Cricetulus griseus: one gene and its partner. The protein of the gene in region 1 purifies or fractionates together with the protein of each later gene. This does not show direct contact. Links are inferred from orthologs where the notes say so. Each region holds a gene or a part of one and is shown in the gene's direction. Other genes may lie near its edges.

Region 1 (3,905 bases):
GATCTTTCTTCTCCACATAGAAATGAGAAATGCCTAGTACTTTTTAGGGGATTAATTAGTTAATTTTCTCAATGTTGTGATCCTCTACCTGACAAGATGGAACCTAAGGGAAGAAGCATTCATACTGGCAGGTAGTGTGGGGATATACAGCCCACTGTTGTGGGGGAGGCAGAGAAGCTCCCAGCTGTGGTAATGGGCGCCTGAGGCTGCTGGCTCACATCTCAATAGATGGGGGGTCAGAGTGGGGAAACACAGGCAGGCTTTCTCCTTTCCCCCATTTTATTGATCTCCAGTCCCCAGTCTGTGGGATAGGTGGACTTTTCCTCCTCAGTTAAACCTCTCACAGACACACCCAGAAGTGGGTCTCCCAGCTCCCTCTAAATCCATGGGAGTCTTACTAGTTTAGGAAAGTCTGTAAATTAATTTTCAGATTTTTAAAAAAGATTTATTTATTTATTATGTACACAGTGTTCTGACTTCATGTATGTCTGCGTGCAGGCCAGAAGATGGCACCAGATTTCACTACAGATGGTTGTGAGCCACCACGTGGTTGCTGGGAATTGAACTCAGGACCTTTGGAAGATCAGGCAGTGCTCTTAACCGCTGAGCCATCTCTCCAGCGCCCCCCCTCTCCGCCCCCGCAAAATTAAAAAAAATGCTTTTTATTATGTGTATGTCTCTTGTGTGCATGCCCTTGGAGGTCAGAAAATATCTGATCCTCTGTAAGTATGTATGTATGTATGTATGTGTATGTATGTATGTATGTGTATGTATGTATGTATGTGTATGTATGCCACATGTGTGTGTAAGGGTGTCCTTGGAGGCCAGAAGTGTCTGGTCCTCTGGAGCTGGAGTCACAAGAGGTTTGGAGCCACTAGGAGGCTTAAAATCGAACTTGGGTCCTTTGCAAGGGCTACAAGCAATCTTAACCGCTGAGCCGTCTCTCCAGCTCCTATGTGACAAACATACATGTAAGTATTTTGCTCCTTATTCAAGTTTTCACTCAGTTGTTTTGACATCCTTTGATGATTGCGGATCAATTTTCAGTATGATTTTGCCAAGTGGTGATTTTTTTTCTTTAAAAATAAATATTACTTTAGTGATTTTCAGATCCTCGGCACACAGTAGGTGGTTCAGACTTTTGTTCGATGAATGAATGACTGAATGAATGAATGAACCCCAGATTCGGTTGGCCTGGCTGGGGGGGGGGGAAGAGAACCTCTGCTGCCTCTATTAGGGGCTTGACTCCCTCAGCCAATCAGGACGTGGTCCCGGGCCGGCTTACGTAAAATGGAGACCTCCTATTGGCTCCGCCTCCGGCTCAGGGACCAATGGGCGTGTGGAAAGGCGGGGCTTCCGCGGGCCGGAGGTATAGCTTCGTGGCCCGCGCGCGCGCTTCTCTCCGGCGCGGGCACCGGCGCGGGCCATGGCTTCATCCTCTCTGTTATCCGCGTTGGCTGTGCGGTTGCTGCGCCCCGCGCCCGGCTGCCACCCGCGCCTGCAGCCCTTCCACCTGGCGGCAGTGCGGTGAGTGTGTCGGGGAGTGGGTCCGCGGGGTCGCGGAGCGCGGCGGGGACAGATGTCCTCCCTCCCTGAGCATCTTTCCGGCGCGGGACCCGCCGCTAACGGAGGGAGGGGTGTGGTGGGGCGACGTGGCACCGGGGCACACGTGGAGATGCGGACGCTTGCCCAGGGGACAGCGTTGCGCCGCCGCCGCCGCAGGGAAGGGTGCGGAGAGGTCCGCCTTTCCCGGACCCTAGCGGCAGCCGGGGTTGCTGCAGTCTGATGAAATCCGCGAGCCGGCTTGCTCCAGGGGTACCGACTTCCCTCCTCCCGAGTGGGTGTGGTTCGAAAGATGCCCCTGCCGCGCGGCGGTCCCCCAGTCCACTCCGTAGCCTGCCAGTTCTAGCCCCGGCGATGTGAGGGTATACATGCCCCACAAGTTGCCGGGGGCTACTGGGAGTAGGAGCTGCATTGTTTTAGGGGGAAGCTACAGTGTTGGAGCTTCCGTTCTGCACGTGGACCGCCGTGGTGGTCACTCCATTCTGAGAGTGTTTAATACCACGTAAACTGTGTGCTTGGAAATTGCCAGAGTTCGGCGCGTTGAGATTGCTCCTGAGGCAGGGGGATTACTGCGAGTTCAAAGCTAGCTTGGACAATGTAGTGAATTGGAGACCAGCCCGGGCTCCCTCCCCAATCTCAAAATATCAATTAAAAAAAAAAAAAGTCACAATGATAAATTTCGTATTCGTATTTTGCCGTAATTTTTAAAAGTTGAAAAAATGAGGCCCTCCCCTTTAACGTTAAGTTGATTGAAGAAAAAAAATCTGATGGGGAAGGCAGGAAAAGTTCTGTTTGCATTTCTTTCGGGGGCAGGGGGGGGTAATTGAGTTGCTGGATCTTTCTGGACCTCAGACTCCCATTTCTGTGCCTAGGTAGGGAGAGTCCAATGGGGGTGTGTGATTTCTTCCCCTACCATCTATGCACTTTGCAATGTTGCCTGAATCCTGTGTCTTGTAAAAGCTGGTTGTGTGTGGTGTAGTCCCCCAACCCACCTCCCCAACACATCACAAGAGTTTGAGACTGAAAATTTAGAGCTGATAAAATCTTTGCCTTCCACAATGGGACTTTTGTTCCTGTTGAAGAGAAAGCAGGTGAGATTTCCACCAGTTGGAAGACATTTCCGGGCCCTGCTTGTTGGAACACAGGATGCTGAGGGTTTTTTTGTTTTTTGTTGTTTTTCCAGTGTTTCTCTGTGTAGCTTTGTAGACCAGGCTGGCCTCAAACTCACAGAGATCCACCTGCCTCTGCCTCCGGAGTGCTGGGATTAAAGGTGTGCACCACCACGGCCTGGCTCGATCCTGAGATTTTAGAGGACTTGGAGGGACATTATTCAGGTTTCCTGAGATCTGATCCTAAGCTGCCTCTTTGAGCTCCATCTTTAATTTCTCTGTCCTTTCCTCTTCCTGAGTTCTGGTCGCTAGTGGCTGTGGGCCACATGTTCAGAGACCTGGCTAACTGAAAAGATCCTGTAATTCATTACCCCCCCAAAATAGACCAGTTTCCTTGCGCTCTGGTTCACTCTTGACTGCTATTCTGAGAAGTGTGTGTTCCTTATCTCTGAAGGCAATCTGTACCAACTGCCCTGTACATTAGATAATTACAGTGTCCACTTTGTTGTTCCAGGGTTTCAGGAACATAAACTCCATGGTTGAAGGGAGAGTACTGTAGCCTAGGAGACGGTGGAGGAGTAAATTAACTTGGTGGCAGATGTTTACACTTGAATCTTGTTTTTTTACTGTTTTCTCTTCTGTATAAAACAGAGTTTTTATAATAGTCACGATAACCAAGAGTAATTTATGTAAAGATGTTGGCAAAATACCTAGTGTTCAGTCAATGTCGGTTTTATACCCCCCCCCTCATTACTGGCCCATTAATTAAGTAGCAGAACTTTTTCCAAAATAAGTTGGTTGGGAGTTATAAGTTTCCCTTATACAGACTGGAAAATCACTAACTGTTGGTTTAAGAGGAAAATAAATATTACTGACTTGGATATTTTATTTGACCTTTATTAGACTTCTTTCTAGGCTGTCATTTTAGTAGGAAAATTTCTAAACATGTCTGGAAGCATTTAATATCTAAATTAAGTGTACAGACTTAGAATGTCTTTTTTTTTCTAGTTTTGGGTTGGAGTTCAGTCTCCTATCTCCCCCCCTTTTTTTTCCCTCTGGAGACAGGGTTTTTCTGTGGCTTTGGAGACTGTCCTAGAACTAGCTCTTGTAGATCAGGCTGGTCTCGAACTTATAGAGATTAAAGGCATGTGCCACTACAGCCCAGTGTCCTATCTCCCTTTAAGCAGTGACTTAATTTGGCCCTTGGCAAAGAGATAGAGGGAATTTATCAAA
Region 2 (3,905 bases), on another chromosome or scaffold:
CTGCACTTCTTACCTGTCTTTCCCAGATACATTTTTGTAGTAAGAGTTACCTCTTTCCACTGCACTTCATGGTTTATTGCTTACTCAGTCCAGTGTGTCTTGCCCCAAAAGATGTAGGCCCCACTCCAGGTTTCCCCTAGCACAAGGGACATGAAGAGGCAGCTCTCACCTGAGGGGTGGGCCAGGATGCCCGAGACCAGGGGCCCAGCCCTGGACCCCTCCACCAAGGCGGTCGCTCTCTCAAGTGAGGGTTTTTTTTATTTTTTCCTCCGCGGTGGGGTTGCGGCCCTGGCGCCATGGCAACGGGGGCGGGGCCTCATTTGAATACCCAAATATTCGTGAGCCGCGGGCATCCGGGGCTGCGGCAGGATGAGCCCCGCCCCCTAGCAACGGTTGCCGGGACACGCGGCAGATCCGGTGGCAGGGTTCCCCTGAGTGGCAGGCAAGCGAGACGGATGAGAAGACGCCCACAGAGGTTCGGAGAGTTGCCCGTGAGAGGTTTCTGTCCCGCTCTGGGTTATCTGACTGCTGGCCGCATCGGCCGAGCCTAGCTCTCACCCCGGGATACACGTGAGCGCGCGTCCCCAGGCCTGCATCACCTGAGAAAGCCCTGTCGGTTTTCTAAGGAGGACGTTCTTACTCGTTTCTTTGAAATTTTCAAAAAGTTGCAAACATGTCATTTGCGTCTGACACAGATGTACCCTACTTGCATGAGTGGATGGAACATTTCATTTCGCCCTAATACCAACTTTTCTGACTTCCGGGGTCGTTCTTCAAATGGGGCACAGTATGAGCTGCTGCAGGGTTGGGACCTCGAGTTTTGGGGGAGGTAAGGGAGGGTCTTCTCCAAAGCACAAGGAGCGCGGTGTGATGGGCCGATGCTGCCTCGGGATGGGGCCTTCGCTACACCTCGGCCTCCGAGAACAGGCAGCTTGGGGTTCCGGCGGGTTCTGCCTTCCTCTGGTATCCCGCGTCCGCGGTGCTGACTGTCCCCGACGCCAGGTCCCGGTCGGAATGACCTTTCCGCTCCCAGGGCCTTTGGGCCTCTGGAGCGGCTGCAGAGTGTGGGCTCTGTGGCAGGCCCCGCGACCCAACCCGAGCGTACCCCAGTTTCTCTCCGGAGGAATCTCGGGTTCCCTCATTCTCTTCCGCACCTCGGAACTAGGCGTCACTCATTTGAGTGCAGTACCCAGGTCGCGACAGCGCTCTCTCTGCTACTCCAGGAAGCCCCGCCTAGCTGCGGCTCCTGACGGATGGGTCGCTCAGCCAACCACAACAGGTCGCGGTGAGGCGGAGCTCGACCAATCACCGACTGTCTAGAGTTGACGGACGGGGCGGAGCGGGGCGGGGCGAGCGCGGGCCCGGCCGAGTCCCCGCCGTCCGCGCCCGGCGCCCGCAGCCCGAGCCGCACCCGCCGCGGACGGAGCTCATGCGCGGCCCAGCCAGCGCCGGTCCGCGCCCCCACCCTGCCCCGGCCCCGGCCCCGGGGGCAGTCACTCCAGCAAGCGGTGAGTGCGGGCGTGGGGTGGGGCGCGGGGCGCAGGTGATCGGTGCTTCCCCTCTCCTCTCACCCCGGCAGCGTGCCTAGCGCCCGGCTGCCCGCCTCTGCGGCCCGGCCCGGCCCGCCCCGCCTGTAGCCGCCCTCCCGGCGAGGCGCCGCCCGGGCCTCCGGAGACTCTGCGCCCCGCGGCCATCACGCTCCGGCCTCGGGGCTACAAGGACACCCGCTTCAGGCCCCAATCAGGGCCTTCTGTTCCCCAGTCACCCCTCGCGCCCCTTGTGAGTCTTTCCCGCAGTCACCTGCTTCCCACACCCTCAGCCGCTTTTCCACCCCTGCTTGCTGAAGGCTCCCTGGCCTCTTGTGGAAGGTCTGTCTCAGCGGAGGGCAGGGTCCCTCTCCAGCCACCCTTCCCCCGCTGCCCGGACCGCGCCTGGCATGCAGTAGGCGCTCAGTAAATACTTGTCGGTTGCACCCACATGCCGGCGGGCCGGAGCCGGTTGTAGGCTGGCACTGGCCTGCCTGGGCACGCTGAGTCCGCCGTGGCAGGACCTGTTTTTGGGGGGTGGCCTCAGCCCTCAGGCACCTCCCGTTGAGGCTTTCTGCCTACCTAGCGACTTCTAATTTGGGTGCGTGGTTGGGAGAAGCTCTCAGCTGTCAGCCCTGCCTTGGGGGCCTCTCCCTGCTTCCTCACACAGCCATTAAGTGCTGGTGGAGGAGGTGGGGGGCCTCCCTGTCCCAGCTGGAGGTGCCACAGGTGAGTGACTGGGCCACTGTGGTGGCTGGCCTGCCTGCTCAATGCTGGTTAGGGCCTTTGGGTCAGGCATCTACTAGCAGTCTCAAGTGGCCCGGGCCTGGATAAGTGTGGCTCTCATTGGCAGGTGGGGCAGGAGCTCCTGGAGTGGCAGCCTCTATAGAAGCGATGACAGAATACAAGCTCGTGGTGGTGGGCGCTGGAGGCGTGGGAAAGAGTGCCCTGACCATCCAGCTGATCCAGAACCATTTTGTGGACGAGTATGACCCCACCATAGAGGTGAGCTCTGGCTACCTGGCTCTGGCAGTGGTCATGGAAGAGTCAGGAAGGCCCACATAGCTAGGTCTTGCAGGTGGTATGGGTCTGCTGCCACCTAATCTATCAGAACATGAGAGGTGCAAGGGTGGGTGGGCTCTGTGGATTCTCTGAGGAGAGGTGGAACGCCTAAGCTCTGTTTTTTTTACAGGACTCCTACCGGAAACAGGTGGTCATTGATGGGGAGACATGTCTGCTGGACATCTTAGACACAGCAGGTCAAGAGGAGTATAGTGCCATGAGGGACCAGTACATGCGCACAGGGGAGGGCTTCCTCTGTGTGTTTGCCATCAACAACACCAAGTCCTTTGAAGACATCCATCAGTACAGGTGAGCCACCTATGGCTAGCACAGGTGAGGAAGGTTCCATGTGCACACTGAGGGTTTATGTCTTCTGAGTGTCCTGGGTACAGCCATGCCTGTAACCTGCTAGCTGGCTCACATACTCCCCATCCCCTTCCAGGGAGCAGATCAAGCGGGTGAAAGACTCAGACGATGTGCCAATGGTGCTGGTGGGGAACAAATGTGACCTGGCTGCTCGAACTGTTGAGTCTCGGCAGGCCCAGGACCTTGCCCGCAGCTATGGCATCCCCTACATTGAAACATCAGCCAAGACCCGGCAGGTGAGCTTGCTCCCCACTCCATAGCTAGTCAGGGATTCACCCCACCCCACCCCAGCCAGGGAGCAGAGCTCATCGCCCCTCTCCCTCAACACAGGGCAGCCGCTCTGGCTCTGGCTCCAGCTCCGGGACCCTCTGGGACCCCCCCGGGACCCATGTGACCCAGCGGCCCCCATGCTGTAAGTCTCCCAGACGGCAGGGCTGTGAGGGAGGCAAGGGCCAGGGTCTGGGCTTATGCCCTGCAGTTCTGGGTTGACACAGCGCCAGGGCAGGAGGGGGTCCATGGAGAGAGCTGCCCTGAGCCAGGCCGGAGCGGTGACCCAGGAGCCTAGTCCTTCTTGTCCTCATAGTGTCCTATGAGTACCTGTTAGTTTTGAGCCCTAAGTATGGGCAGGGTGTTCAGACCTGAGCCATACTGGGGGTCTGGGAGAGTTCTGAGTCGAGTTGCTCTGAAGGATATTCCAGAGTGAGCCTACTTAAGGAGAGTGGTCCTGTGCCTTTTAGATGTGCAGAGCCCAGCTCCCTATTTGTGTTGGTTGTGCAGCCGAGGAAGGGTTGTTTTCCAGGGTTGGGGTGTTACCTGATCCAGGCAGGGAGTTTCTTACCCAAACAGCACCCCTTTCCTCCTTGGAGTCCCCTCTGATCCAGTCCCTCTGTTCCCAGGGTGTGGAGGATGCCTTCTACACACTAGTACGTGAGATTCGGCAGCATAAACTAC

Evidence for each region.
Region 2: the proteins of Mthfd2 (region 1) and Hras purify together in Homo sapiens (co-immunoprecipitation; 4 studies listed by BioGRID and IntAct, with this or other methods). This does not show direct contact. The link is inferred for Cricetulus griseus from reciprocal best matches to the Homo sapiens genes MTHFD2 and HRAS.

What each region holds. Positions count from the first base shown.
Region 1 is NC_048601.1:74,799,620-74,803,524, forward strand, and holds the start of Mthfd2 (bifunctional methylenetetrahydrofolate dehydrogenase/cyclohydrolase, mitochondrial), read left to right. Parts: upstream 1-1,368; 5' UTR 1,369-1,426; coding exon 1,427-1,527; intron 1,528-3,905. UniProt on the Homo sapiens protein: Although its dehydrogenase activity is NAD-specific, it can also utilize NADP at a reduced efficiency.
Region 2 is NC_048596.1:59,992,141-59,996,045, forward strand, and holds the start of Hras (GTPase HRas), read left to right. Parts: upstream 1-1,354; 5' UTR 1,355-1,429; coding exon 1,430-1,508; intron 1,509-2,379; coding exon 2,380-2,531; intron 2,532-2,718; coding exon 2,719-2,897; intron 2,898-3,030; coding exon 3,031-3,190; intron 3,191-3,284; coding exon of another isoform or gene 3,285-3,366; intron 3,367-3,850; coding exon 3,851-3,905. UniProt on the Homo sapiens protein: Involved in the activation of Ras protein signal transduction. Ras proteins bind GDP/GTP and possess intrinsic GTPase activity.